Linked DNA regions of Notamacropus eugenii. The protein of the gene in region 1 interacts with the protein of each later gene in a biochemical or structural test. Links are inferred from orthologs where the notes say so. Each region holds a gene or a part of one and is shown in the gene's direction. Other genes may lie near its edges.

The links.
Region 2: the proteins of EPS15 (region 1) and SGIP1 form a complex in vitro, tested with the Homo sapiens proteins (2 studies listed by BioGRID, with this or other methods). The link is inferred for Notamacropus eugenii from reciprocal best matches to the Homo sapiens genes EPS15 and SGIP1.
Region 3: the proteins of EPS15 (region 1) and TFAP2A form a complex in vitro, tested with the Homo sapiens proteins (2 studies listed by BioGRID). The link is inferred for Notamacropus eugenii from reciprocal best matches to the Homo sapiens genes EPS15 and TFAP2A.
Region 4: the proteins of EPS15 (region 1) and EPN1 form a complex in vitro, tested with the Homo sapiens proteins (4 studies listed by BioGRID and IntAct, with this or other methods). The link is inferred for Notamacropus eugenii from reciprocal best matches to the Homo sapiens genes EPS15 and EPN1.

What each region holds. Positions count from the first base shown.
Region 1 is NC_092873.1:511,774,498-511,781,934, reverse strand, and holds the start of EPS15 (epidermal growth factor receptor substrate 15), read left to right. Parts: upstream 1-4,429; 5' UTR 4,430-4,525; coding exon 4,526-4,558; intron 4,559-7,437. UniProt on the Homo sapiens protein: Involved in cell growth regulation. May be involved in the regulation of mitogenic signals and control of cell proliferation. Involved in the internalization of ligand-inducible receptors of the receptor tyrosine kinase (RTK) type, in particular EGFR.
Region 2 is NC_092873.1:527,079,803-527,087,368, forward strand, and holds the start of SGIP1 (SH3-containing GRB2-like protein 3-interacting protein 1), read left to right. Parts: upstream 1-4,558; 5' UTR 4,559-4,714; coding exon 4,715-4,790; intron 4,791-7,566.
Region 3 is NC_092875.1:181,716,881-181,724,322, reverse strand, and holds the start of TFAP2A (transcription factor AP-2-alpha), read left to right. Parts: upstream 1-4,429; 5' UTR 4,430-5,211; coding exon 5,212-5,496; intron 5,497-6,088; exon of another isoform or gene 6,089-6,436; coding exon of another isoform or gene 6,437-6,463; intron 6,464-6,841; exon of another isoform or gene 6,842-6,971; coding exon of another isoform or gene 6,972-7,007; intron 7,008-7,442.
Region 4 is NC_092876.1:18,168,333-18,175,751, forward strand, and holds the start of EPN1 (epsin-1), read left to right. Parts: upstream 1-4,417; coding exon 4,418-4,645; intron 4,646-4,729; coding exon 4,730-4,979; intron 4,980-6,998; coding exon 6,999-7,123; intron 7,124-7,317; coding exon 7,318-7,392; intron 7,393-7,419. Other genes in the region: U2AF2 (splicing factor U2AF 65 kDa subunit), read left to right, coding at 1,368-1,447, 1,569-1,691, 1,900-1,998, 2,262-2,510, 2,678-2,812. UniProt on the Homo sapiens protein: Binds to membranes enriched in phosphatidylinositol 4,5-bisphosphate (PtdIns(4,5)P2). Modifies membrane curvature and facilitates the formation of clathrin-coated invaginations. Regulates receptor-mediated endocytosis.

The sequences.
Region 1 (7,437 bases):
CTCTGCCTCTTGGAAACCCAAGCTTGCCTCAGAGCTCAGCTCCAATGGCACTTCTACCAACAGGCCTGCCATGATTCCCGCCCCCCACCCCCCGGGATGTAAAGGCCCCCTCCCATCATTCTGTATCTCTCTTATATCGACAGTCTCCCTAAAGAAAGTTAAAGTTCCTTGAGCAGAGGGACTGTTCCACTTTTGTCTTTGTATTTCCGTTGACCTCCTCTAAGTACCTGGCACAGAGCAGGCACCTAATAGGTGCTTGTCCATGTTTTTACATGATCCAGGACAAGTAATTTTGTTTTTTGGGACAGCAGTTTCTAGATGCATCTGTTGTTGTTTAGTCATTTTCAGTCCTGTGCAACTCTTCGTGACCCCATTGGGGGTTTTCTTGGCAAAATTATTGGAGTGGTTGGCCATTTCCTTCTCCATATCCTTCCAGAGGAAACTGAGACAAACAGGGTTAAGGCACTTGCCCAGGGTCACACAGGTATTAAATGTCTGAGGTTGGATCTGAACTCCCGAAGATGAGTCTTCCTGACTCCAGGCCTGGAGATCTGTCTCCTTGGCCATGTGGCTGCATGGGCCTCATCTGTAGAATGGGGGAAATAATAGTAATGGAGTCATTGTGAATATACTTTCAAAATGGTAGAGCACCATGGAAGTGTTAGTTCATATTTTTAGTGGAATAGGGCCAGCTTGGTGTATCCTGGGCTGGAGTCAGGAAGAGGTAGTTTCAAATCTGGTCCTGACTTTAGGTCCCTGGATCTGAATGCCAGATATGCCACATGTGACCTCAGGCAAGGCATGTAACCTCTTTAGGCCTCAGTGTCCACATCTGTAAGATGAGGAGGAGTTAGAATAGGTGACCTTTAAATCCTATTATCTTCCTCTGAGCTATGATCTGTCAGTATCTGGAATCAAGAGACCTGGATCCAAATCCCAAAGAGGTTACTTGTGGCATGGTGGATAGAACAGCCAGATGATCCAGCAGACTGCTACAGTTATTACTGAAAAGGACACTGGGTATAGAAGCAGAACAGAGCAAGGTCTGAATCCGGCCTTCTGACACTCACTAGCTCTATGACCCTGGGGCAGTCCCTTGGCCTGTGTTTCAGGCAAGTCCCTAATACTTCTCGGCTGAGCCCACTGAATCAGGAAAGGGAGTGTCCCCTGTGGAGGCTGTAGATTCCTTCTGCCCTTCTGGGAATGTTAGTGGAAAGAAGCCCTGACACCCATGACTCCTTCATAGGTGTTCAGGTCCAGCAGGTATTACCTGCATTGTAGAGATGAGGAAATGAGGCCCAGAGAGTGTCCTCCCCTACAATCAATCAAACTGGAAATGTCCAAGGTAGGATATGAACTCAGCTCTCTCTTGCCTCAAGTCTCCCCGCCCCTCCCCCTGGCACCATGACTACCTGGAAGATGGGAAGAGCTTGTGAAGTCAGGTTTTTGGACTCCAAAATTCTGCCTAATAACAGCCCATAGGATTGACCCTCCTAATTTTACAGATGAGTCACCTGAGGCCAGAAGGTAAAGTGAGCTGCCTGAAAGGCTCCACAGTGAGTGGCAGACCTAGGCACCCAGTTCCTCTGCCTCTACCCTGCTGCTGATCTTTTCTCCAGGTTTCTCTCTCCCAGGGTGGGGCCCCAGCAAGGGGTCCCTACTGTTCTGTAACACAATTGTTATTTTGCTCCCCTCAACCCCAATCCCCCATTGCTTTTCCCAGAACAAGGCAAACTATATTTACTAAACTGACCACTGGGACCATCCTCCCCAGTGCTCTACATCACCATGATGGAAGTGAAAGTACAGTTGTTGTTGGGCAGAGGGGGAGGGGCATCGTAGCTCCGTTCGGATGGGCCTTTAACCCACCCCTTTCTGTAAGTAAAACAGGAGCTTTGTGTGCCCTGAGATAGCAGTGTCTTCCAAGTGAAGCCCTATAGGCACCAGCCTTCCTTCAGACTCAAGCCATAATACAGTGTTCCTCAGTTTGCTGATGCTGACATCACAAAACTGGAGTGTTCCCTGGTGACTGAGCTGATAGCAGCCTACAGCCCTTAGAAAACAAAAGAAAACTGAGAATGACATACAAAGAAAATCCTGTATCTGAGTTCCCTTAGCCTCCTCCACTCACTGAGAGATGAGTGTTCATGTGTGGATGCATGTATATGTGTGTGTGTGTGTGTGTGTATGCTCAGTTCCTCATCCCAAACCAGTTGGGGGCAGGAGGGTAGGCAGATCACTTTGTGGCTCTGCCCCCTTCACTGGTTAATCATCAGGGCCATTCCCATTTATACAGCACTTTAAGGATTACATGGCATTCACAAAAACCTTATGAAGCAGTGTGTACCTTGGAAACAGGGATGGAGATAGATTTGGAAGACCTGGGTTTGGACTCTAGGTTTGGGGACTTATTATTTACTGTATGTGACCTTACAAGAGTCACTTAATTTTCCTGAGGCTCAGTGTCTCCCCTGTTAGAATACAATCACCTAGTGATGGGAATTGTTTCATTTATTGTTATTATATGCCCAATACCTGGCACACAGTAGGAGCTTAATCAGTGCTTGTTGGTTAAGTCTGTTTCAGCTTTAAATCTAATACAACCCAGATCTTTCTGTCTTCATCTCACAGATGACAAAACTAAGGCTAAGAGACTGGTAATAAAAATACTAATATTTATACAGTGCTTTCTTACTATATGCTAGGTACAGGGCTAAGTACTTTACAAATATTATCTTGTGTGATCCTCACAACAACCTACAGTCACAGACAGAACTCCTAAGTGTCAGAGCATCTATATGAACCAAAGGAATTCCAGGTGTAACACAGCTGATGAGGGAGTGGTCAGCTCTGCTTAGTTCTCCGAGGAGGGGGGACCCATGGCCTCCTGAGGCCACCTGTCCCATTCTGGGAAAGTCCTCATTGTCGGATCATTTAACATTAGAACTTTTCCTGACGCTAACCCTAAACTGACTCCAGTTAGAGCAACAACTCAACTTTCTACAGCTCTTTAAGGCTGACAAAGAGCTTCTCTCCCAATGACCTTGCAGCACAAGGGCCATTGATTATGCCCATTTTACTGATGAGGAAGCTGTCTCAAAAAAGATGTAGGGGTTTTACTACTTGTCTTTTCTGACTTCAAGCCCAGGGCTCTGAGTCTTGGCAGGCATCTTCTTCATTTTATAGATGAAGACCCAGAGGGCGCAGGCAAGGGGCTCAGGGTCGGCCGTCCGTGCTGCCTCTGGGGTGAGAAGCTCCGAGTTTGAATGATGCAATGGGCTCGGATGGCCAGGAAGGCCATGCCATGCAGCAAGCACCTGCTGCGGGCAGGGTCTCTGCTCGGCCAAAGGTTGTGCGCCCAATTTAAAATAATATCCGTAAATCGCATTTCTTAAGGTGACTTAGAAACCTCCTCGAGCAAAGATTAAAAAAATGGAAGAGAAAAGGGAAGAAACAGCCCCTGCCCTCGAGGAACCGGCCTTCTGCCCCGAAGACAGCCCGCACACGTGCGGGGAAGGCTCCGGCAGCTGCTGGCGGGCAGGGGCCGGCTCCAGGAGGGCTTGGAGCCGGGGGGCATTTGACCCGAACTGGGGGTGACACGAGGGGTCTTCACCAGGCCGGGGTGCGAGGGCAGGGGAGCCGTCGGGCGGGGCTTTGCCCGGGAAGGCCGGGCGCGGGAGGGTGCCAGCCTCAAACAGGACTCGTCCCTGGCTCTAGGGGGTTAGGGAGCCCGCGGAGCTCGCAGGAGGGCAGGGCCGCCCGGAGAGCCGCCCTCGAGGACGTCGCCTGGGCAGCCTCGTGTGCGGCAGCCGGACTGGAGCGGGCAGATGGCCGCGAGGCCCAGGTGACGTCCAGGTGAGAGCGGAGGGGCGGGGCGGAGCCACCACGTGGTTTGGCTGGCTGGGAGCCAGGAGGTTTGGAGCCCAGGTGGCTGCCCTGATAAGGTCAGGGGGTAGTTCAGGAAGTGGGGGGCCGGGGGAGATCATGAGTTCTGCCCGGGGGACGGCCCACTTGGAGTATCCCGAGTCTCGCCAGCGGCGGCCCTGGGGCTGTTGGATGGGCTGGAAGGGGACCTCGAGGAGCGCTCCAGGGAGGTCATCCTGACCGGGTTTTCCGTTCCGCCAGCCTTCGGGCCGGGAGTGAAGGGGAGGGGACGAGCGGTAGTCCGGTCCGGGCGGAGTCCGGCTCCGGTCCGGGCGGAGTCTGCGGGAGCCGGCACAGAGGGTGATCCGCACCGGGTTTTCGGGGCGGCCCGGGGCGGAGGGGCGGGGGAAGCGGAGTGCGTGGGTGTGCACGCGCGCGCGCTTCGGAGCGAGGGCGGGAGAGGCAGGGTGTGAGGGCGGGGGCGGGGCCGGGCCGGGCGGGGCGTGGCTCCAGGAGGGAAGTTGCTGAAGTTGGGTGAGCCGCCCGGGCCTGGCCGCCGCCTTCTTCTGCGCTTCCTTCTCTTTCCCCTCCGCCGTCTCGAGCGTGTCGGCGCCCGCCTCCGTCCTCGCCGCGGCCGCTCGCCGTGCATGATGGAAACACCATGGCTTCGGCGGCCCAGCTCTCCCTGACCCAGGTAACGAGGCGGGCTGCCCGGGCGCGCCCCCGCCCCCGCCCTCTCCGCGCGCCCCCGCCCTGTGCCCGCGCGCGCGCCCCCGCCGCCCGCTTCACCCCCTCGGCCCAACCGCCGGCTCCCGAGCCGAGCCGAGCGCCCTCGGCCGCGTCCAACCGTCCCGGGCCGCTGCCGGGGCTCGCGGCCGGGACGGGAGGGATGCCCACTTCGGGTGCGAGGGCGCTGGGCGGCCAGCAAACCCATCCCGTGGCAGAGGGGAAACTGAGGCAGGGGGCGGCACCCGCGTGCGGCCCCTCCTGGTGCCCCTGTGCTGCTCTCCCTTCATCCTAAGGTCATAGAGGGAGGTCATGGCGCTGGCAGGGGGCCGTCCCGGCGACTCCCCCCACGGTACGGAGTCCTGGAGACTGTTTCTGGGCGTAACGCGGGGCCTGAGTCACCCCGCTAGGCTCAGGTACACCGTAGGCGCTTCATAAATGCCGCTTGATGGGGTTCGTGCAGAGCTAATGGGCGCGTCTCGTCCTCCCCCTTAGTTGACAGATGAGGAAACTGAGCCCCTAGGCTGCCCCCGCAGCCCAGCCCCCCAGCAGCTCCCTTCCCCCACTTGCGAGCCCCCATCTCCCAGCAGTCAGAGCCACCTCAGGTTCACTCCTCTGGAAAGTGGGAGAGGCTTTTAGAGCTTTCCTTGTGCCAGGGCTGAGCCCTTCCCACCCAGCCTCCATTCCCTTGCCCCCAGAATCAGCTCCATACCCCCCAGGTCTCGTCCTTTCAGTGTCCAGCCCAGAGAAAGCCCGAAGTGCCAGGTGCTAGCCTGCCCGCCGCTGCCCTCGCCCTCCCTGAGCCCCCACTCGGAATTCCTCCCCATCCTTCCATAAAGGCAGGCAGGGATGTTCCCTTCAGGTCATGTCTTTCTCAACTTCTGATCTGGCCCTTTCCGGAGTCATCCAACCTTCGGCTGGAGATAAAGTGACCACACTTTTTGTGGGACTTGTTGGTTCCTGCTAAGGGCTGGACCTGAGATATATAGACCCAGTTGCCGGGCGGGTGGGTGAGGGGTGTTATTTGTAACTACCTGTCAGGAGATAGGAATGCCCTTGTCCTGAGCCAGTCAAGTCTCCCTCTCAGAACTGATAGGAGACTGAAGAAAGGCTTTTGCAAGGAGCCCTGGACTGGGGCAGAACCGCAGCGATCTCTTGACCAGGGTCACAGGTTGGATGTGTTTGGATAGTTCCTGAAGGATTGTTGGGGCCTTTCAGATTGTAGGGGCTGAGTTTATAAATGTCTCTTGAAGTTGAAGGACCACTGTAGCCGTGAGCTCTTTCTTTTAAAAATGCATTTGGTGCTTTAAATGTTCATTTAATAAGAATACTACTGGCAGGGTAAAGGTTTTATTTTCCAGTGGTCATTTTGAAAAGTTGTGCTCAGGATGAGATGGTAATGATTTTCATGTTTGTTGGCCACTTCTGCATTATGAACACGGTCGCACTCACTCAATCTTCTGCAGTTTTGTAGGCAGTCATATGCTATAGTAAAGTTGTCAAGGACATAGACTTGGGAAGCAGGTGCTCCCCAGCAGGTCCCCTTCGCTCTGTACCTAAAGACCCAGGCAGGTCCCACCTACTAAGGCAGGAAGGCCTCCCTCAGTCTACTTAAAGAGGAGGAGGTGCTCTCATCACTAGAAGACTGGCTCCAGCAGCTTTTTATGCCATCTACTAAATCTTGAAGGGACTGTGGAGGGAGGGAACATTCACCCTAAGAAACACCAATGCTTTGGATGACTAGCATAAATACCTCATGGGTTGTAAGGCATTTTTTTCCCCTCATCTATAAGATGAGGAGGCCATTAAACTCAGGATGTAGGATTGGAGAGCAGGGAGGGACCTAATGGATGTTCTCTAGTGCATCTTTGAGGCCTATGGAGGTTAGATGATTTGTTCATGGACTCTTGGCTAGGAGGTAGCAGTCAGGATTTGAACCCGCTCCAAATTTGGGGCTTTTCATCACTTCCCAGGGCTGCCTTTTGGACTGGTCTGGGTTGTGCTTGATTTCACTTTGGAGAGCAGGTACTTCGTTGCATCTTCCAGCTGGAGCAGGAGCTAATTTTAGGTTGTTTGGATTCTGAGATATCCAGAGAGGAGTCAGCAGACAAAACTCGTGTTCATAGACTATGGAGATGCCCCTGGATGGTCTGTCTCTAGCATCGTGTGACTGTACAATGCCTGGGTAGTTGAAAGGTTTTTGCTCCGTGAGCTACAGGAACAGTAGATAATTTGATTTAAACTCAAGGGTAGGGATGAAGTTGTCCTCATCATCTTTTCTCTCTCTGTGTCCTGCAGAGTGGCATTGAATATAATAAGCATGACATATTTCTGCAATCTCTACTTTACAAGGTCTCCGTCAGATAAGAGGTTTTTGAAGAGGGTCTTCTGGCTTCTAACTTTCTGCCTTGGTAGACATTTCTTTACGAAGAAGGATTCAGTTTGAGGGTTCTTCCTCTGGCAGTCTGCCTTGCTTCTGTTCTAGCCCCAGGAGGGGAAACAGGAGAGACTGATGGATGACTAGACAGCATGGTAGGGTGGAGCTGGAGCCCTAGACAGCTCTGGGGTCCCAGCATTCTCGTCCTCAGTCTGTCTGGAGCTGAGCTAGTTTCAGACACCTTGGTGGTGTAATGAAGGGGTTAAGGCTAGAGAGCCTCTCCCTGTCAGCTCTGCCATTCAGTGATTTGGTTCTGACCCAAGATCTTGCCAATCTAGACATCTTGGAAGAGCCCTGAAGTCGGGAAATTCCAAGTCTAGCCCTTATCAGCCATGGGTTCCTATACTGACAAGACATTTGTCTTCTCTAAACTTTAGTCTCTTCATCTGGAAAATGGGAATAGTAATAAT
Region 2 (7,566 bases), about 15 Mb from region 1:
GAAAGAAGGAAGGAAGGAAGGAAGCAAGGGAGGGAGGGAGGGAGGGAGGGAGAGAGTCTAGCCTCATTTCTTTTTGCCATAGTCACTAGACTGGTAAATTAGAAAAATTCCCTGAATGTGTCATTTCATGATTTCTGTGCATAATCTGGAAAAGTCCCTTATGATATCTCAGTTGACAATGCAGGGCAATCAGAGCTGGATGGTGTACAACTAAGTGAATCTGTAACTCGTTAAGCAACTCTACACAAAGAGTGTTGACTATAGATTAGCGTGATCCCAGAGGGAGGTATCTAGTGGAATGAAGCTGAGTTCTGTCTTTGGCCTCGCCATGTTCAACTTTTTCTTTTCAGATCAGAGAATTAGATGACGACATTGAAGTCATGTTTATCAAATTAAGAGATGAGACAAAGCTAGAAGGAATAACTACTTTGCTAGACAACAGTCAGAATTCTAAATGATCTTGGCAATTCAGAACGGTGGAACCAAACAAAGTTGAAATTTAAGAAAAATAAATGTAAATTCCTGTAATCATGTTTGTTTCTTTTTCAGCTGATTATGTAAGTATAGAATAGAGGAGTCCTCATGTAGGAGTAATTCATGTCAAAAAGACCTTAAGATTTTAATTAATCACAAGCTCAAAATGAGCCACGAGAATAGTATATAGTTCATTTAAAATGTTAATGATATCTTAGGCTGCATTAGTGGAAGCAGTATTTGAATTAAAGGAGGTAATAATCCCACTGCGCTTCCTATTAGTCCAATGATATCTGGAGCATTTTGTCCAGTCCAGTCCCATCCTCTTTATTGGCTTCATTGGTATAACCAAAAGGCTAAAAGAGAAAGAGAGGACTGTAAACCATGTGACATTGTACAAGAAATGACAGTAATTTGGAATTATTCTAAAGAGTAAAAGACTTTGGGGATGGGGGGGATGATAGGTGGCTACCCTCAAATGTTTGAAGGGATGTCAAGTGAAAGCTGGATGAGGTTAATTCTAGGGTTGCTCCAGATACCAGAACTGGGGCTGATGTGTGGAGCTTAAAAGATGGCTTTCACTTTTGAAAGAAGTAAAGCTGTATGAAAGCAGGTTGGATTCTAAAGTTCTGTGATTATCTTATAAAGTAATGGCCAAAGTCCTTTCCAGCTCTGACATGCCATGGATCTTGACTTAATCTAATTTGCTAGACAACTTCTTGCTTCCTAACCCAGTACTTTGACCATGCCCCTCTTCATTACTCTTTGGATGATCCTCAATTTTTCTATACTGATCTATCTTCATTGACAGTGACAAAAGAATGATTGTATTTTAATATTGATACCTTCCTGGATTCTCCTAACATTGTATGGATCATATCACTCTCTTGCCTCTACATCACTTGCATCATTCAAAGTCAGTTTACAATCTGTCTTCAATGTCCTTGGGAAAGTCATTGGAACTCTATGGGTCTCAGTTTCCTTACCTGTAAAATGATGGGGGTTGGACAAGCTGATCTCAAATCTCCCTTCCATCTCAATGTAGGCAGCCTATACTCAAAGAGAAATTTTACCTTCTATTTTTCTGTATCATATCTGTTTGGAACAGATGGCTACAACCATTTAAAGGCACAATTCAAAACAGAAATCACTGTCATCAATGTTTGGTCTTCCAGTTCACTTGTTGTGTATAGTGTCAAAGGGATTCCTTTTTCCTTTGGGCTATGATTGGGTCTAGATGACCAGTGAGATCCTTTTCAACTCTGATTTCAGGGATTTTTGACTCAGGGGGTATTATTCAGAAGATAGAGACAAGATGATTCTTTTCTTCTAGTAATATTGAACAAAGAAAAACATTAAGCAAGTATTGACATCATGGTGTTTTGTAATCTAAGCAATGGAATTTTAACAGTATAACTCATAATGAAAAGCAGAGAAATGTAAAATAAATAAATATATCATGTCCCCATTCTTGGGGGAAAACAAATACTCCTTGAGCGAGGACTATCATTATTCATGGCAGAGAACGGTCAGTGACACATGGCAACACCACGCTTTTTTTTTTTCATTTTGTAGGATTACTGGGAAAGTGAGCAATTTGGGTTGAGACAACCTGATCTTTGAAGACAATTTTTAGTTAATGGAGCCCAGGACTATTGAGCTGGTAATCAGGATATCTGGATCCTGCTCCTGCTCAGCAAATATCTTGCTGTGTGGGCAAATAACTTCCTCTCTGGTCCCCAATTTCCTCAGTCAATAAAATGAGAGACCAGACACACTGGAACATGTCGCCCCTCCCTCTGACTCACGAGGTCCCTTCATTGTGCCACTAGGATATATGAGAAAGTCTTCTTTTTGCAACAGAAAAGTTCTGACTCCTTTCTACCCTTCTAGTCTTTTTACACATAATCACCTTCCCCATATAGTATATGTTCAATTGATTGGCTAATTTCTTGTTCCTTCATCTCCCATCTCCTTACCTTTAAACTGGCTGACCCTCTTGCTTGGAATGCTTTCCCTAGAAACACCTAGCTCATGCTGTACATAGATCACTGTGCCCAACCTGAGTTCAAATCTGGCTTCAAACACTTAGATATGTGATACTGGGTGAGTAACTTAACCTTTACACGCCTTAGTTTTCTCAAGGTAAAATGGGGATAGTAATAGTACCTACCTCATAAGGTTGTCATGAGGATTAAATGAAATAATACGTGTAAAGTGCTTAGCACAATACCTGACCCATAGTAGGCACTATATAAATGCTACTTACTATTATCATTGGTTGTTCTTTATCATTATTGTTATTTTATATATTTCATTATATATTATATAATACATGTTTATGTCTTGATATAAAAAATCTCTATCATACATTATCATCATATTGTTGTTATTTATAAACAATAAAGGCAATCAGAAAAGGTTCCTTGTAGAAGGGAAGATTTTTAGCTGGAACTTGAAGGAAGTCAGGGATAAGAGATGAAAAGACAGAGCATACCAGGCAAGAGGGACAGACAGCCAATGGAAATGCCATAGAGCCAGGAGATGGAGTGTCTTGTTCATAGACTAGCAGAGATGCCATTTTCATTAGACCAAAGAATGCACAGAAGGGTTTAAGATGTCAGAAGACTGGAAAGGGTGAGAGAGGGTCAGGTTGTGAAGGGTTTAGGATGCCAACTGGAAGATTTTGTCTTTGATCTCAAAGCGGATAGGGAGCCACTGAAGTTTGTTGAGTACGAGGATGGCATGGTCACATCTGCGTTTTAGGAAGATCACTTTGATAGTGAGTGGAGAATGGAGCAGAGTTGGCAGAAGCTTGCAGAGGGAAGATCAAGCAGCAGCCATTAGAGTAATATTGGAATAGTTCAGGCATGAGGGGATAAGGTCTTAAATCAGAATGATAGCAGTGTCAGAGGAAGAAGAAAATGCATATGGGACATGATGTGAAGGAAAACTGAGAGAATTTGGCAGCCAATTAGGTATAGGAAAGGAATGAATATCAGAGAGAAAATAGGAAGTCAATGACACATAGATTTGGAAGCCAGGTCACTGGGAGCATGTATTGTAATAGGGAAATATAAAAATACTGTAGTTTTGTAGGTTTATTGTGTAGCCTGGAACTTTGATAAAGTGACTGTTAAGTTGAAGATAGCAGAAAACAAAATGAATAGAAGAATCTTGTTCTGACCTAAATTCAAATGTGATCTTAATCAACACATTAAAGCACCCAACAGTGTAAGAGAACAAGAGCTCATAGGGACTCGCAGAATTTGTGTCCATTGATATGTGTCACATATCAATCCAACAAATATTTGGTAAGCACTTACGACGTATGAGTCACTGTGCAAGACAAATGATGGAAACACAAAGGGTGCAAGACACAGACTATCTCTTCAAAGACTTTACAATCTCTTCTGCGGATGGAATGAGGCATTGATTTGTAAAAGAGAGAATGTTTCAGTATTATAGAATCAGAAGGACTGACAGAGATATTGGTCTCAGTATGTCACACACACAAACACACTTTAATAAATTCCTTCAAGGATCAAAGATGTAAACTCTTTTGTTTGTTTTGAAGCTTTCAACACAACCAGGACCCTGTCTTTCTTGTCTTACATATTATTCCTCTCTGTATGCTATATAATTCAGCCATGCTGGCTCACTTGCTGTTCCTACAATGCAACACAAAAACTGAGCACCATAGTCTAGAGTTGGTCCATCCAGAGAAGAAGACAGTAGGACCATCATCTCTTGTGTTCTGGACATCATATTTTTCTTAAAATAGAATTGGAAAACAATTTTTGCCTGTCATATTACAAGTGTGGACAGAGAGAAATCACACTGTTGTTTCATAGTGAGTTTATAGTCTACTAAATCAGCCAGGTCATTTTCAAAAAGAACAGCTCTCTATCCAATAAAATGAAAACTGAAAAGCCATTTCAGTAAAATGAAAAACCATACTCTATTAGGGGAAGGGCATGATAGATGGTGTTACCCTAAGTCCAGCAGTATGATTTTCCACAAGATGTTGTCACAGCAATGGCTGTTGCTTGTGACATCACAGGGAGATCCATCATTTTTAACTGAAGGAGCAGTTGTATTTCCCCCCCTCTGTAGACAACAGGGACTGAGTTAGCCATGGACCATGGCCATCTAGTTTATTAACAAAGTAGAAGATGGTCAGCCCCAAAAAGGAAAAGGAACATCTGGGGAAAATCGGGGTTTGAGTACATGTCAGTGGATGGCTCTTTTTCAAGACCAAGTAGATACAATGAGCCATTTTAAAGAAGATGGATCAATACTTCAGAGAAAAGGAGGTAAGAAGAGAGTGTCTTACTAAGATGTCTGAACTAATGAAAAATAGGAAGGTGAGATGTTTCAAACATAATAAGATGGTCCTCAAATCTCCACAGGAAAAGAAGTTATACATATAGCCTTCGTATATGCAATGAGAATATAAGAGGCAATGTGAAAGTATTAATCTCTTGAAGAAGGCTATTTTCACTAGATATTATAAACAGCTTTGTAAACTAAAGGATTATAACAACATGCTATTGTTAATAGCAAAAGGGAACCTGACAACATGCACTAATGGATAGAGTATTGGACTCAGAGCCAGGAGCATCAGAGTTCACATCTTGCCTCTGATGCTGATTAGCTGTGTGACCATTGGCAAGTCACTTAACCACTGTGAGCCTCAGTCTCCTCAGCTATAAGATGAAGATCATCATACTTAGACTGTCTATCTTAAAGTGTTGCTGTGAGGCTCAGATGTGTGTTAGGCGTAAGGTGTAAAGTGTTACATGAACATCAAGTGTTTTGTTTTAATTCGTGTTAAATTTGGCATCATATAGAACCACAGATTCTCAGAGTTAGACCACAAAGATGATCTAGCCCAACATATATAGGAACAAAAACTCCCTCTGCAATCTCCCTTGGCCATGGGCATTTACTGAGGGGAAGGTTGCTTTTTTCCCCTAAGGAAATCCACTCTACTCTCATACCACTCCAGTCGTTAGGACATTTCGCATTAAACTCAGCCTCTGTTTTTCCAGAGTGTCCTCTCCGGCATATTTTAATTGTCAGTTATTCTTTCTTTTGTTTCTTTGTAAGACTTGCCATTGTGGATTCTAGTTTTTTCTATCCTACCAATGATTTTGGCTATGTAGACCATAAGTTCCTCTCTCACAATTCGAGTTTCTCTTTTGAAGCATTCAGAGGAATCCTGTTGTGATTGCATGCTCCCTTGGGAACCCACAGGGTCTTCTGCCTCATCAGGTGTGAATTCATTTTCACTTGTTTTGTGATACATATTCAAACTTGTCTGCTTTATCTGATTATGCTCGAGGTTTATCCTTTTTTTCCTCCTGAGATCTTTGGTAATTTCAAATTTTTTTTTCCTTATTTGGACCTATTGCTCACTTTCCAATTCTCCTCTTTAATGGTGGTTTTCCTGGGGGCTGAATCTCCAATTTTCAGCCTCTTCCCACACTGTGCAATTCATGGTTCACCAGCTTTGGTGTTTGTCTTAAGTGTCTTCTGAGAGGACAGAACTGGTCCCAGATGAATGCTGGGCTCTTTCTATTAGTCACATCTGTATCCTGCCCTCTCTGTTCTCTGGACAAACTGTATTGTGTAAAGAATGATCACTGTACTTTGGCAACCTGGGCAAGTTTCTGCTATTTGGAATTTGGATCTTGGTGGCACTAGAGGAAGGCAGGAGTGGGTTGAACTAGGGTGCAGTGGGGGTCAGGGTGTGGAGACAATTTCTGTTGAAAGCCCTGGGGAAGGCTTATGCAGCCTTGCTGTTGGGAGTGTGGTAGGTAATAGGAGAAAGAATGCTGAGAGAGTGTTTTTATTTCGTTTGGGTTCCTGGAACCCTAAGCTATGGAAACAGCTAAAAATTGCTTTATCTCTTACACACAGTTGCTGTTTTGGAGAGGTTTGAGAGGTCATGAGAATGACAGAATATGTCCAGTCTTCCACCTTGGGGCATGTGACCCTAAAGTCCTTATCTGTCTTCATGCATGTTCTCTCCATTATCCCTAAGTTTACTATCTGAAGCCAACCAAACTATGTGAAATTTCTCTTCTGCATAATAACCCTTCAAATATTGGCTCAATTCCTTTAATCAGCAAACACAAAGCATGGTCCAGCGTCTTTCATGATTTTCTAACTCAGCAGTTCTCCACATGTGCTCCTGTGAACCATGGAGGTCCTTGAGAATCTTCCAGGGAGTCTGAGAGGCTAAAATTAATTTCATAATAAGAAGACATCTACATTTCTAACTTGTAAATAGCTATGGAGATAGCCCTTCTAAACAAAATCTCTTTTGGGGGGTGTCCTCAATAATTTTTTCAGAGCATAAAGGGTTGTGGACACCAAAAAGTTGAAAACTGCTGCTCTGGTCTACCAAAGTCTGACTTATGCCTCCAGCTAGCCATCCCTCTTGATCTGGCATCACTGAGAGATCTGAGAATTATGAGCCACTAGCCACTCCACTAGAGACCTCTTCCTATTTGACACTGAGTTATTGAGTCCAGCTCTCCCACCACTTCTAAGTGCACCTAACTTTGCTATTGTTTAGTTCACATCTATCTACCTTCTTCACCAGAATAACCTGAGAGACTTTGTCAGATGTTTTGCTGCTCTAGGAAAACTGTCTTTATAAGATTTATAAGATTTCCTTAATTTATTTAAGTCTAGCTATTCCTTAACTGGGACAACTAAATGGTGCCATAGTGCACAGGAAAGATCTGGGTTAAATCCAGCCTCAGACATGTACTTGCTGAGTGACCTTGGGCAAGTCACTTAGCCTGTGTTTGCCTCAGTTTCCCTATCTGTAAAATGAAGATAATCAAAGCACCTACCTGTGAAAGTTGTTGTAAAGCTAAATGTGAGACATTGGAAAACATTTTAGCACAGTGTCTGACACATAGTAAATGCTATATAAATTGTTGTTATTGTTATTATTTCATAAGAGATGAAATTAGACCTGTGTTCACTCACCACCTTTTTTTCCCTAACTGTTCACTCTCTTCCCAGTTCCTAGAATTTTGTCAGTAATCAAAGTCAAGATATCCCTGGCCTCCT
Region 3 (7,442 bases), on another chromosome or scaffold:
ACTGGCTCCACTGGATGACTCTGGCTGGAGATAGTGCTTTAATAAAAGGAGTGCACCCCACATCCCTCTTTGCATAAACTACAGGCCCTGATCTGCACCTCAATTGCAGTCTCAATAGGAATAGAACAACAATTTACACACTTTGGGATTATTCAGAGCCTAGTGGTGCCAAGGGGACCTGGAAGGGTGGAGATGGTGAAGAAGCTGAAAGGACAAGTAGGGGTGAAGGAAGAATGGATGAAAATTTCTGTCTTTCCTTCATCTGAAGAAAAGGAACCCCTTAACATATACAGGCAATATCTAGGCAATACACAGATCTAACATGACTATCTGTTTTATGCATGCAGAATATATATTCATTGGCTTAGCACAGCATTACATATGACTTTTTGACTGACCACAGTGCAGAGTCCCCAAATGTCTTCCCTGGAAAACTGAATTTAATATAATCAAAAGGGAGCCTTAGGTCTATTCTTGTTGCTGAGCCAAAGGAGGGGGACTTGAAAATTAGTGTTTTATGCCAAATTCAGATGGCAAGAAATAGGAACACAGAGAAGAGGGTAGTTAAGGAATACTGCATTCAAAGTAGTCCTCTCCTCCCTCAGCTTCTTGAGCATTTAAGATCAACATTTCTAGTCAGGTCTTGCTCTAGATTTTAGATACTACCTGATCCAGGGAATATATTCTCCTGGCCAACTGGATTGCTTCTTCCTCTGCCTTCTTCTATCTGTTTGGTAACAACTGTGTAATGGCCCCCAAATCTCCCTTACACACACACATCAACAGGAATATGAAAAAGAGAACACACACAATGAGAACTGCACCAGCCTGTGTGACTTGCGGAATGTGGCCCCAAATAAAGTCAAAGACTGTTAACCTCAGCATGGAAAAAGATAGATGACCTTGCAGATGTCATTGAGGTTAAGGAAAAAATGAGAGAAAGGAGAACTGGAAGGAAGTAGGGAGAGAAGAGGTAGAGGATTGGAAGGAAAGCAAAGGAGAAGGGAGAGACAAAGTGAATAGACAGAAATGGAGAAACTTTCTTTAAGGACAAATGACACAAAATCCATATGTCTAAGGATCATGTCAGTATTTTTACTATAGTCAACGTACTGAATGAAGCATGTAGTTAACTTTCTAGACCCCCGAGAGCCCTGGATAACCAACCACCAAACCTTTTGCAGGTTCCCACCATCTGCCAGGGCACTGTGTTGTGAGTCAGCCTTGGTAACATCACCAAATCATAGAGGAGCCCTCCTTGTCTTAATTAAAAATGGGAATCTTGGGGAAACTGTAGCATATTAGCTCTGTGAAGGGTTGGTTTCCAATCACTTATTTTGATGTATACATAATAATGTGTATACATACATCTGTACATGTAGTACTGTAGTATAGTAGTGCTGTAGCACCACTAAGATGATTATGTACATATCATCATGAGTTAAGTTTTAAAGAAATCTCTCCCCCACAACCCCATGGCCTGAAGGAGTTCAATTGTCAGTCAATCGTAACTTCAAACTAACTTTTGGAGGAATAAATGGGAGTTGAGGAGAGAAAAGGATTCCTGCAAGAAAAGCAATTTGCCTTTGAAACTTGTGTAAAATAAAAATGTATGATTTTAAACATTTATTTTACACACAGAGGAATTAGGCGACATCTCAACTGTTTAAAAAAAAAAACAACCCTCTGTCAACCTAGAAGAAAATTACACACACACACACACACACACACACACACACACATACACACACATATCCACCACCACCACTACCACCACCAAAAAAACCAACAATAAAATTGGAGGGGGAAAGCTCTGGTAGAGTAGTCCCTTCCTGGAATGAATGAGATTATGTATAAGGTAAAAATATAGCTGGGTTCTTTTCCTTGAATTGCTATGGAAGCAATTATTAGTGCTTAAAAAAAAAAAGGGAGAGGACGAGGAGGGCAACCTCTCTTGGTTATGAAGGCTAGAAACGTTGGACACTAGCTCCATATCAGGGAACAATAGTAGTGACTTTCGGTTCACCCATCTCTTTTAAGCTTTTCCCTGGAAATCACTGTGTAAGTGTTGTGCGTGCGTGTGTGTGTGTGTACGTACGTGTGTATGTATGTGTATGTGTGTGTAATGTTGGGTCTGGGGGATTCGGGCAATTGGGGGAGGGTGGAGGCAGTGCAAAATCGATTGGCAAAAGGAACGGCAGCGAAGATTTTCCGTTCCTTCCAAAGCAACCCAGAGCTTTGGGAGGAAGCTTCCCGCTTTGTGAGTCCTATATACCTGTGTCCATTGCTGCAGGTTCTTGTGCTGGAGAGCAATTGGACTATTGTTGATATGCTAATGAGGCGATTAGGCTGTTGGTAAAGAGCTGGAAAAGGGAAAAGTTTCTACCATTAGAGGGAGATCTCCGAGCGCACACAGGAGCTCTCTCCCCACACGCCTCCTCCTCCTCCCTTCCACCACCAGCCTGTACTCTGCGCTTTCCCAGAGAGTGGCTCCACTTTGGTGCAAGGCAGAGAGAAACAAATTTGCTCACGCCAATCCATGAAAATGCTTTGGAAACTGACGGATAATATCAAATACGAAGACTGTGAGGTAAGCTCTTTGCTGGTCTGGGCACGTCCAGGGGCACCATGGGCTGTCACTGGGATCTTGCCTCATGCATCGATCTGAGAATTTCGTATAGGACAAACTTCTACCTCTCCTCAACCCAGGCTACCAGAAGGAGTGACACTGGGTTAGGGAGCGCCCACCCAGAACTTGGGAAAGTGGGGTAATTTTTCCCTTCTTTACGTCTTTATTCTCTTTTTAAATTTAAATTTTGGAGATACACTAGGAGAGTGAGCAGAGAAATTTGCGGGGATTTTTGAAGCATGTGCTGCCAGTGGTGTGCCTTTTCCGAACTCATGGAGGTCCTGAAAGTCAGTAGAAAAAGAAATGGAAGATAGGGTTTTCTCTGTGCCAATGCTTTCTTTTTAACCTTAGCCTAAATTTTTACTGATGTGCAGGGAATCTTCTGGTGAAGAAGCTGATTAGGGGAGTATGGAGGTGTGGGGGGCGGAATGGAACACAAAACATTAGTCGAGTAATTAGCTGGCATCTAATGAGCAGCTGAAATCAGGTACAATATGGGATGTTATCAGCCTTGCGCCTTATTCCTGCAGTTAGCTGGGTCTCACTTCAGGGTCAGTGGATCAAGAACTTAGGAAAATTCACTCAGCCTCAGAGAGGAAAGAACTTAGTTTCCGTAAGTGCGAGAGCGGGGAACCTTGGTGGCGCGGCCGCCTGGTGTTTTGAGTTCGCTTCGCTCTCTACCTTCTACCCCTTGTCCTGGGGTGGGGTGAAACGATGGGACTCTGCGATAGATCGTGGGACCAGTCTTGCCATAGGGATAATGTGGAGACCATGAAAACACCGGGCTTCTCTGGGACCCGGTGCCCGAGTGCGACCGTGAGGGAGTGAGCGGTGCATTAGGGTCTCCCCTCCCCCCAACCCCTTTCTCTTGGGCACAATCTCAGTTTTTACTGTGGTATATATCTTGTGGGTCCAGGCTTCTTTAAGTCATTCGTTCGAGATTCTTATATGAGTTTTCTATAGCCATTCGCATTTGGTCCCTTCCATTACCCCAAAGGAAGAACTGATGAATCACTCAGAACGGCGGATTATCTAAATAAATAAGTTGGAGTCCCAGTTTTTATATCTTTTTGTCATTTGATTCTGGAAGCGTCAGGAAAAGGAGCTGTTTGCATACGGAGCAACAATATCTTGTTTTCGCTTGAAATCAGAAACCAGGTTTATCCGAACGACATGTAGCTATCTACCCCCTTTCCCCCGCGCCTTTTTCTTTTATGAAGACTATTTTAGTTCTTGTTTCTAGAAATATTTCTTCCTTTCCAAGCACACACACCACCACCACCCCCTTCTCAGCTGATGGAAGAGTGCGTTTGGGATCCAGATGAGGACGCATGTGTATGCGCGAGCACCAAAAAGGGGAGGAGAAGAGGGTCAACTTGGCTTTGTTGTAGTGGTCGGAATGGACGGACTGTTTGCTCTAGTTAGTGTTAAACAGACCAGGAAAATGGAAAATAATAATTGGCTACAATTCCAAATCCCTAGGCCGGAGGCATTGGGACTCCTCCTAACCAGAGGATGAACTCCAATGAAGTCTCAGTACCCCTAAAGCTTCATGGGGGAATCGGACACCGAGTCGCCTCCATGAGGCGTTTGGGAATTGAGTGGAGATATGAAAGAATGTTGGGACATTCATTAGGAACGTGAGTATGGGGTGTGTGTGCGAGAGAGAAAAAGAGAGAGAGAGAGAGAGAAGAGGAGAGGAGAGAGAGAGAGAAGAGGAGAGGAGAGAGGGAGAGAAGAGGAGAGGAGAGAGAGAGAGAGAGAGAGAGAGAGAGAGAGAGAGAGAGAGAGAGAGAGAGAGAGAGAGAGAGAGAGAGGAGACGGATGGCATAGTCTTCTAGCTGCTGAGAGATTAAGAAGAGGGCGGGGGAGAATAAAATAAAGCTAAGAAGATTGCAACTTTCCCAGTGGCTGTGTGTGCAGAAGAGACTGTAACCCGGGCTTCGGTGCAGGATTACAGCTCTGTTTGATTAGGGGAGCAGGAGTTCTGTAGGACAAGCAGGAGGCAAAGTGCCCGTTGTTATGATAACCCGGCAGACTGGCAGCGGCAGTGGTGGCGGCGAAGCTCGAGCATGTGCGTGTCATCTTTGGGGGGAGTTGGTGTTCAAGAGTGGCCCAGCCAGTCCGACGGGTTTGCACCCGGAGCTGGGGAGCTAGCTTGTGGCAGTGTGTGGAGGGACTGGGGCTGGCTCCTTTTCCTTCTCTTTCTCCTGGGTCCCAGGAACTCCCTACCTTTCTGTCCCCCTGAGCTCCCAAACGACTGCTCGGTGGATGCTCTGGGAGGTGAGGGGGGCAGTCCTGACCATCTCTGCTTGCCTTTTTCCCGGCCCCAGTCACCGCCGAGTTGCCAGGAAAGAGTGGCTGCTCATGGGTGGAGTAGTGTGGGGAGCTGGGTGAAGTGGAGAAGGCACCCAGACCTGGCTGAACAGGGGAAAGGAAGAGAGCCTGCAGGCAGTAACTCCTCAGTCCCTGGGCTCGAAACCCGGGTAGGGCAGAGAAGGGCGTCCCCTTAAGGAGGGGGGAAAAAGAAGCAAGGGATGAAGGCCGAGGGAAGAGAGGAATAGGAGCACGCAGAACTCTGGATGCCTCGTTGTTTCCAGTCTCGGGCGGGTCTCTGCTGTTCGGTCAGGGTCCTGGGCAAAGCCATGGAAGGATCTCTCGGGGAGGCATTGGTAGCGGCGGCCGACGACAGCGGCAGGGGACCGAGGGGCCCCGAGGCTCCTGCCCTGCAGAAAAGCGGACCAGACAGCTGCACCAAAGGGCAGGGGAGAGACTCTGGCACAGAAAGCAAAGAGGCCGCCCAGATGCAGCCCTTGGCATATAATGCAGGATATTCGCAGCAACAGCAGCAGCAGCAGCATCCTGAGGTCTGCCCTCACTCTTTTTGGTTTGATTGCCCTCCCTTTCTTTCTCTCTCTTTCCCCTCCCCCATCCGTTCTCTCTCCCCCCTTTTCCTCCCTCCCTCCCTCTCTATGTGGTTCCCACTCCCTCCCTTCCCTCTCCCACTCTGTTCCTCTCTCTCTCTCTCTCTCTCTCTCTCTCATGCAGGCACTCTCTCTCTATCTCTCTCTCCTCTCTTTTCCCTGCTTTCTTTTTCCTCTCCCTCTGTCTTCCTCGCTAGAGCTCTTTCTCTTTCACTTTTGCATGTCCTGCAACCTTTTAAAATGTTGCCCCTTCCTTGTGATTCGTCAGACGCCACGGCATGTCCCCCTCTCTCTCGCTCTCTCTTTTTGTCTCTAGCTCTCCCTCTCCCCATCTCTGATTAGATACACTGATTCTTCATTCAATGGACGTCATTTAGAACAGACTCTGCCTTGAGTTGCCTCTTCGCTTCACGCTCGATTTCCAGCCATTCTTCCCTTATTAAGTATTCGTGTAATATTAATAGTCATGAATATCTGCTATTAGGAGTCTCAAGGAAAGCAGTCGATCTCTGTTATTAGAAGCTCAAGTGAAGCAGCCGCTAAGTCAAAGAAGGAGAAAAGAGGGAAAGAAAAGGATTAAGAAACAAGCACATACACACTTTTTTCTTTTTAAAGAACTTTGAATTATACTATCACGACAGGATAGAGATCGAGTTTTCAACGTCCAATGAAGGGCACCAGCACGAATTGGTTCAAGTTCTGATGGATTATAGTCGTGCTTTTCTTGTTCTCCAGAGTCTCCGGCGTTGTGACTTTGTAGTCATAGTATAGAACTGGGGCTCGTTCGCTTCTCTTTTGTGTTGGGTGTGTGTGTGTATGTGCAGTCGGTCACTTTTCTCTTGATTTTTTTTTCTGCCCTGACTCGTTAACCCAGACTTCGCAGATGTTAGTACACAGTTTTTCAGCGATGGTGAGTTTTGTTTTGCTTTGGTTGTTGTTTTTTAACCCCTCTCTCCTCGGGAATTCTCTCTTAGAATACTAGTGTCGTTGAATGTTGTTGGACTTTGGGTTTCACGATCAGGATTCCTCAAAGGCCACTTTTCTCACACACACACACACACACACACACACACACTCTCTCTCTCTCTCTCTCTCTCTCTCTCTCCCCTACCTCTTTCATTTTTCATTTTTCTCTTTTTCATCCTCAAGTCTTATGTATTGTCCCCTCCCTACTCTCCTTCCCCCTCCCCCATTTACCTACCTATTGCTTCAAGCCAATGATCAAAAGGCTTGTTCTTGCCATATTCGTCTTCATTTCCTTACGTTTTCACTTGTTACGGTGGTGTTTCCAAGAGTCTAGCCTTTATCCTTAGCCACTTAAAAGCCTATCCTGATAGACTACCGACCATCTGTATACTTTGCTCCTGTGTTTCCAAGCACCTGAACTTCGTAGGATACTGAATTCCATAGAATCAACCATGTACTGCTATTTTGAAAGATACTCAATTTCGATGGTAAAGCAGAAAATCAGTCATTTCATTTATCCTTAAGGGGAGAGGGAGTGAGGAGGAGAAGATGTACCCTAAGGTGTACCTCTCTCTTTAAAATTAGAAATGAATTCATCCTTTTACATCTTTATTTTTTTAAGGATATTATGTACTTATTAACTCAGCTAAAGAACGGGAGAAGACAAATGTCTCCATCCATAGTCAAACGTTCTTTAAACTGATAATTTCAACTTGTGTTTTCATTACAGCTTGTTTCAGAAATGTTTTTATTTAAATAGTCATGAAATGATAATAACATTTGAACGTTTATTATTATTCCTCTAAATAAATCGAATAGGTAAACAACAGTAATACGGCTGTAGTTAGATTCCAGGGCAGGAGGAGGAAGTGGTTCTGCTGTTTAACGTCGAGGACTTTTTATTTTGCTTAAGGGAGGTTTGG
Region 4 (7,419 bases), on another chromosome or scaffold:
GTTGGGACTCCTTTGGAGGGCCTTGGAAGTCTGGGTAGACCACAAGCTCAGTAAGAGTGGGTGAGATGCTGCCCCAGCCATTGTAATAGGTGGTCCAAGGCCTCGTGTCCAGAGCCCAGGACAAGAGTCCTATTTTAGTCACTTTACATCTGGCAGGAGCCTGGTTCAGTTCTGGGGACTGTATTTTAGAACTAAGCTGGCCAATAAGTACCCAGAGGCTATTGAGGTGGGCCAGTCCAGAGGCAGGACACCCAAGGAAGAAGGTTGAAGGAGCTTGGTGATGATAAAGAACATTTGGGGGAAGGAGGAGGCGGCAGATCGCGCTTCCTTCTGCACTCACATGTTTTCAGGGCTCCACAGGGGAGAGCAGGGGGCACATCATTCAGCCTGGGCAACCCTTCTGGAATATTGTAGGAGATTCCTTGCGGGCAGGTCAGAGCCTAGGCAAACACTCCCTGGGCATTTTATTCTTGCTCTTTCTCCTAACTCATGGGTCTTAGCTTAAGAATGAGATCTTACTGGTAGCCAGTCAAGTAAGGTCTTTGTTGAGCATGAGATTGAGGTGTTTTGAGGAAGCTCTGCATACCAAATGCTGCGATCTAAGCCCAGCCCTTCTTGTGTGTCCCTGGGCCTCAGTTTGCACAGTTGTTGTGACCACTGGTATGGTTTTTCTGCCAGAGCCTTGAACTTGGGGATCCAGGGTCACTGTCTCTGCTCTGCTGCTCTCAGGCATGACCTTAAGCAAGCTTTTAGTTTTTTCCTTTGTGCCCTAAGGAGGTTAGAATCGACAATCTTTCAATACCCCTCACTAGAAATATGCCCAGCAAGGACCTTCTGGCCCTAAAGCCAGTGACTCCCCATTTTTTAGAATCTAGAAAACCCCAGAATCTCAAGTTGGCTTTTTCAGTGTTAGCCGGCTCTGCTCTTCACTTCTTAGGCCGGGTGGCTGGAGGAGGCATTGATTGCCGTGAGTGCCGTTGGTGGGCTGGTCTCACACTTGTGCCTCACCTTGCCCTTCTTGCCGGGGTTGCTGCTCTGAGGCAGTCATCTTAGCCCATGGTCACAGCCATGGTGGGATTAGCTGAGATCTCCACAGGCCCTTCCAGCTGGTCAGGGCACCCTGCTGGGCCTGGTCCCCCTCTGTAACAAGAGTTGGTGTTTAACCAGATGTTTAATGTCCATCCTGGGGAGGGGTGTTTGTTGGTGTCCCAGAGGTTAGTCACATTCTTGGTTTCTGCTGCTGCTCCTGGGTGTTTGGAGCAGAAGGTGGGTTGCAGCGGTGTGGACCCCATGTAACCAGATCTCCCCAGGCCCTTGGAGGCCGAAGTGACCTCCCACTGAAGGGCTGCCCCTCTCCATTCCTGCAGGTGTCGTGTCCACTGTGGTCCCAGATTCTGCTCACAAGCTGTTCATTGGGGGACTCCCCAACTACCTGAATGATGATCAGGTAACCACCTGCCAACTTCCCCTGTCACCTGCTTGTCCTCTTGCTTTCCCTCCCCTGACTCGCTCCATTTCGTCCCCGCCTCCACCCCGCCCGCCCGCCACCCCCCACTTCTCCACCACAGGTAAAGGAACTGCTGACTTCATTTGGGCCGCTCAAAGCCTTTAACCTGGTCAAAGACAGTGCCACGGGCCTCTCCAAGGGCTATGCCTTCTGTGAGTACGTGGACATCAACGTCACTGACCAGGTGAGTGTCCCTGGAGGACCTCTGCCAGTGGTCCCTGTGTGCTTGGGCTAAGGGGGTCAGGGAGGGTCGGTCAGCCCCCTGGGATGGGTGGGGAACAGCCCTTCTGCCCCTGCCCCCACTCCAGTCAGGGGTAGGGGGAGGTTGGGGAATTTGGCCCCTGACCCACACTCCCCCCACGCCCGCCCCACCCCCACCCCACCCCCTGCAGGCCATCGCGGGGCTGAACGGGATGCAACTGGGGGATAAGAAGCTACTGGTACAGAGGGCTAGTGTGGGAGCCAAGAACGCAACGCTGGTGAGCCCTTCGGCACGTCATCTTCCATTGGCTAGGGGGCCCTGGGGGGTGGAAGGGGGGGTGGGATTGGGCTGGGAGGAGCCGAGTGGACAGGCAGGCCAGGCAGAGGGTGGGCAGCAGCCTGGGGGAGGTGGGGGGGGTGTGGGTGTCCCACTGGGGTGTGGAGTCTAGCAGTGGGGAGGAGGAGGGGGGTCAGCTAGAGCAGCGATGGCGGGCAGGGGTCCGAGGCTCCCAGGCCTGTGGCCTGACCCCTCCCTCCCCGTGGCCCCCCACAGAGCACGATAAACCAGACGCCGGTGACGCTCCAGGTCCCTGGCCTGATGAGCTCACAGGTGCAGATGGGTGGCCACCCCACGGAGGTGCTGTGCCTCATGAACATGGTGCTCCCCGAGGAGCTGCTGGACGACGAGGAGTATGAGGAGATCGTGGAGGATGTCCGGGATGAGTGCAGCAAGTACGGGGTGGTCAAGTCCATCGAGATCCCCCGGCCTGTGGACGGTGTGGAGGTCCCCGGCTGCGGCAAGGTCAGGAGGAGCCCTGCACGTGGCCCGGGTGGGTGGGAGCAGACCGCGGGCCGGGCCCCGGCCCCCCCCCACCCCGGGCCGGGCCCTCCCCCCCCCCCCCCCCGGCCGGACCCCAGCCCCCCCCCCCCACCCCGGGCCGGGCCCCAGCCCCCGCGCTCTCTCCGCAGATCTTCGTGGAGTTCACGTCCGTGTTCGACTGTCAGAAGGCCATGCAGGGCCTGACTGGCCGCAAGTTCGCCAACAGAGTGGTTGTCACAAAGTACTGCGACCCCGACTCCTACCACCGCCGGGACTTCTGGTAGAAGCAGCCGGGGAGGGGGGCCGGGTCAGGGGGCCGGAGCTGGCTGGGAGACCCCCCCATCCCTTCCCCCTCACTCGACCCTGGCCAGGAGAGGAGGAAGAGGCGCCTCGGAGGCCGAAGGCCGGGGGCTGAAGCCCTGGGCAGGGGAGGGGCTGGGGTGTGGACACACACACACACACACACACACACAATACACACACGAACACACGGGGATGGGGGATGGGGGAGGGCATTGGGGGGGTGGGGTGGGCCCCCCTCCTCCCCTCGCGGTAGCAACATAGCGTGTTTATATTTTACGGCCAAAACTTTTTCAATTTTGTTCTCCTGACCTTCGACCTCTGCCCGCCCAGGACCATAAAGCTCCTCTTCCCGCCCCGCCCCTTCCTGGGACCCCGCCCCCTCCCGTGATGGTTTCTTATGTAGTAGAGATGTTGTTTCTCTCCGCCCGTCCCCTTCCTGTCCGCCCCGCCCCCCTTCTCCTGGCAGTTTCATATTTGCTAAAGACGAATTTGCTCATTAAACATTTTGTTGTATTTTACTTTACGGAGCGTCCAGTGTTGACTCGGGGGTGTGGGTGCGACCGCCCCTCCCCCTGCCCCCGTCAGTTACACCTGTCGTGGTGACGTCACTGACGCACTTGGCGTTCTCCCCGGAGTGAAGGGGCCGATGGGGGCGGGGCTCCGGGGTTCGGAAGGCGGTGCCTCGCCGCCCGCCTCAGTGTTCCCATCTGTAAAAGCTTCGGGCCAATTCCGGAGGGCCCTGCCGGATCCCGAACCGGACCGCACACTCCGTCTCCAGGAGGGGCGGCTTGCATGCTCCGTTCCAGCCCTCGGTTTGCCCTGCCCCCAGCGCGCGGCGCTCTAGCCGCTCTCCTCTCGGTGGTTGGGGCCTGAACAGGAAGTGACGTGGCGGGCGGCCAGCTGAGGGAAGCCGGAAGCGGACGGGGCGCGACTTCCGCTTCCGGCCGTCCTCTTCCCGGCCGCTTCCCCTGCGCTCGGCGGCTGCCCCCCGCCCCCTCCCGGGAGCCGGAGCCCGAGGATTCCCGGGGTGAGCGGGTGAGGGGGGCGGGGCGGGGTTCCCCCTCTCTGTTTCCGCCGCGTCCCTGCGTCCCCCGTCTCGGGGTCTTCTCCCCGGCTCTGTCTGAGGTTTCCGGGTCCCATGTGGATGCGTCGACCCCCACCCCTCCCGTGCCCTCTGGGACCCCGGCCCTGCTCGGCCCGTCTGCCCCTGCGCTCTGCCCCCTCCCTGCCGCGCTCTCCCTCAGTTTCCCCCCCTTGCCCAGGCCCTGGGCGAGCTGTCGCCGCGTCTTCTTCCCTCCCGGCTCCTGGCCTTGCCTTGTCTCTCCTGAGCTTCTCTGGGCTGGACGGAGGCCCTGGGGCCGGGCCCTGGGAGGTGCAAGGACCTGGCGGTGGGGAGGGGCCAGGGGCTTTTGGCGTTGGTCTGCGCACAGCGGGGGGCCGCGAGCGTGCTGGTGGGTGGCCCCCCCCCTCCGGTGCACACCCATTTCCCGCCTCAGCGCCTCTCTCGGCCTCTGCGCCCCCAGATGCGGTGACCGGCTCCCCCTTCCCTGGCCCCCTCCCGCGGCCCCGGGGGCGGCCCCGCAGCCATGTCGACTTCGTCGCTGCGCCGGCAGATGAAGAACATCGTCCACAACTACTCGGAGGCGGAGATCAAGGTGCGCGAGGCCACCAGCAATGACCCCTGGGGGCCCTCGAGCTCGCTCATGTCCGAGATCGCTGACCTCACCTACAACGTGGTCGCCTTCTCGGAGATCATGAGCATGATCTGGAAGCGGCTCAACGACCACGGCAAGAACTGGCGGCACGTGTACAAGGTCAGGGGCGCCCCGGGCCGGGGGGCGGGGGGCGGGGGGCGGGGCGCTGCGAGCTGCCCCGGGCCCACCCCCTGCTGCCCTCAGGCCATGACGCTCATGGAGTACCTCATCAAGACCGGCTCGGAGCGCGTGTCCCAGCAGTGCAAGGAGAACATGTACGCGGTGCAGACCCTGAAGGACTTCCAGTACGTGGACAGGGACGGCAAGGACCAGGGCGTCAACGTGCGGGAGAAGGCCAAGCAGCTGGTGGCCCTGCTGCGGGACGAGGACCGCCTGCGGGAGGAGCGAGCCCACGCGCTCAAGACCAAGGAGAAGCTGGCCCAGACGGCCACGGGTGAGAGCCCGCAGGGGAGGGAGGCTTCCTCGTCTTCCCCAGCCCCGCTGCAGCCTCCTCTTTATCAGCCGCAGACGTTGCCTGGGGTGCGGTCCTGCCTGGGACTGAGATAGAGGGCGCCTGGGGAGCCCGAGAGGGAGGGGAGCTGGGGAGCCCGAGACGGAGGGGAGCTGGGGAGCCCGAGACGGAGGGGAGCTGGGGAGCCTGAGACGGAGGGCGCCTGGGGATCTGGGGAGCCCGAGAGGGAGGGGAGCTGGGGAGCCCGAGACGGAGGGGAGCTGGGGAGCCCGAGAGGGAGGGGAGCTGGGGAGCCCGAGAGGGAGGGGAGCTGGGGAGCCCGAGACGGAGGGGAGCTGGGGAGCCCGAGAGGGAGGGGAGCTGGGGAGCCCGAGACGGAGGGGAGCTGGGGAGCCCGAGAGGGAGGGGAGCTGGGGAGCCCGAGACGGAGGGGAGCTGGGGAGCCCGAGACGGAGGGGAGCTGGGGAGCCCGAGACGGAGGGGAGCTGGGGAGCCTGAGACGGAGGGCGCCTGGGGATCTGGGGAGCCCGAGAGGGAGGGGAGCTGGGGAGCCCGAGAGGGAGGGGAGCTGGGGAGCCTGAGATGGAGGGGAGCTGGGGAGCCTGAGACGGAGGGCGCCTGGGGAGCCCGAGAGGGAGGGGAGCTGGGGAGCCCGAGAGGGAGGGGAGCTGGGGAGCCCGAGACGGAGGGGAGCTGGGGAGCCTGAGATGGAGGGGAGCTGGGGAGCCTGAGACGGAGGGCGCCTGGGGATCTGGGGAGCCCGAGAGGGAGGGGAGCTGGGGAGCCCGAGAGGGAGGGGAGCTGGGGAGCCCGAGAGGGAGGGGAGCTGGGGAGCCCGAGACGGAGGGGAGCTGGGGAGCCCGAGAGGGAGGGGAGCTGGGGAGCCTGAGAGCCTGAGACGGAGGGCGCCTGGGGAGCTGGGGAGCCTGAGACGGAGGGCGCCTGGGGAGCCCGAGAGGGAGGGGAGCTGGGGAGCCTGAGATGGAGGGGAGCTGGGGAGCCCGAGACGGAGGGGAGCTGGGGAGCCTGAGATGGAGGGGAGCTGGGGAGCCCGAGACGGAGGGGAGCTGGGGAGCCTGAGAGCCTGAGACGGAGGGGAGCTGGGGAGCCCGAGACGGAGGGGAGCTGGGGAGCCCGAGACGGAGGGGAGCTGGGGAGCCCGAGACGGAGGGGAGCTGGGGAGCCCGAGACGGAGGGGAGCTGGGGAGCCCGAGAGGGAGGGGAGCTGGGGAGCCTGAGACGGAGGGGAGCTGGGGAGCCTGAGACGGAGGGGAGCTGGGGAGCCTGAGACAGAGGGCGCCTGGGGATCTGGGGAGCCTGAGACGGAGGGCGCCTGGGGATCTGGGGAGCCTGGGGATCTGGGGAGCCTGAGACGGAGAGGATCTGGGGAGCCTGAGACGGAGGGCGCCTGGGGAGCTGGGGAGCCTGAGACGGAGGGCGCCTGGGGAGCTGGGGAGCCTGGGCAGGGCCTTCCTCCCTCCTCTCCCAAAAGGCTTGAATGTCCTGTTTCCATGTTTCTGCTTCTCTTTCCTCTCTTTCTTCCTTGTGTCTTTTCTTTTCCCTGCTTCTCTCTCTTATCTCCGTCTCTTCACTTTTTGCTGTCCCTTTTCCATCCTCCGCTCCATCTCCTCTCTTGATTCTTGTTTCTGGTATTTTCCTGTCTTAGTCATTTTTGGAGTACCTACTACGTGTTGGACACCACATGTGCTCAGCATTGTGGATGCAAAGAAAAAGCAGTCGTTCCCCCCTCCCCCAAGTTCTCAGGTTCCGTAGACCTTGTGCCCAGGCCAGTCCATGCAGTCTGACCAAAGGGAGTGCCTGGTAGTGGGGGCAGAGGTGCTGAAGGAAAGCATGGAGATGAGGACATAGCTAACAAGGGTGCCATCATGTGTTCTCTCTTGCGTTTGGGGGCAGGACCAGACCTGGGATGTCTGTCTTTAGTGGGAGGGGACCTCCCTGGAGCTAGGCCCTGTCCCACCCTTCCCACCATTGTTTCCGCAGCATCTTCAGCAGCTGTGGGGTCTGGGGCGCCCCCAGAGGCAGAGCAGGCCTGGCCCCAGAGTAGTGGGGAGGAGGAGCTACAGCTGCAGCTGGCCCTGGCCATGAGCAAGGAAGAGGCTGACCAGGTAGCGGGGGCGGGGGCCTGCTGGGGGGCAGCGGTGCACTGGGGTTTGGCCACATCTCCTCTCCATCTTCCTCATCCTTCACTTCCTTAGCCCCCAGTCCAGCCTCTTTCAGGCTCTCTCTGGCTCTCCTGGCTCTGCAGCTCTTTCTTGGTCCTGCCCCGCCCCCCTCACATTCTCTCTCCCCACCCTGCCAGCCCCCACCCTGTGGCCCTGAGGATGACGTCCAGCTCCAGCTGGCCCTTAGTTTGAGCCGGGAGGAGCATGACAAGGTCAGAGCCACGTCCCCGCCTCCCCCC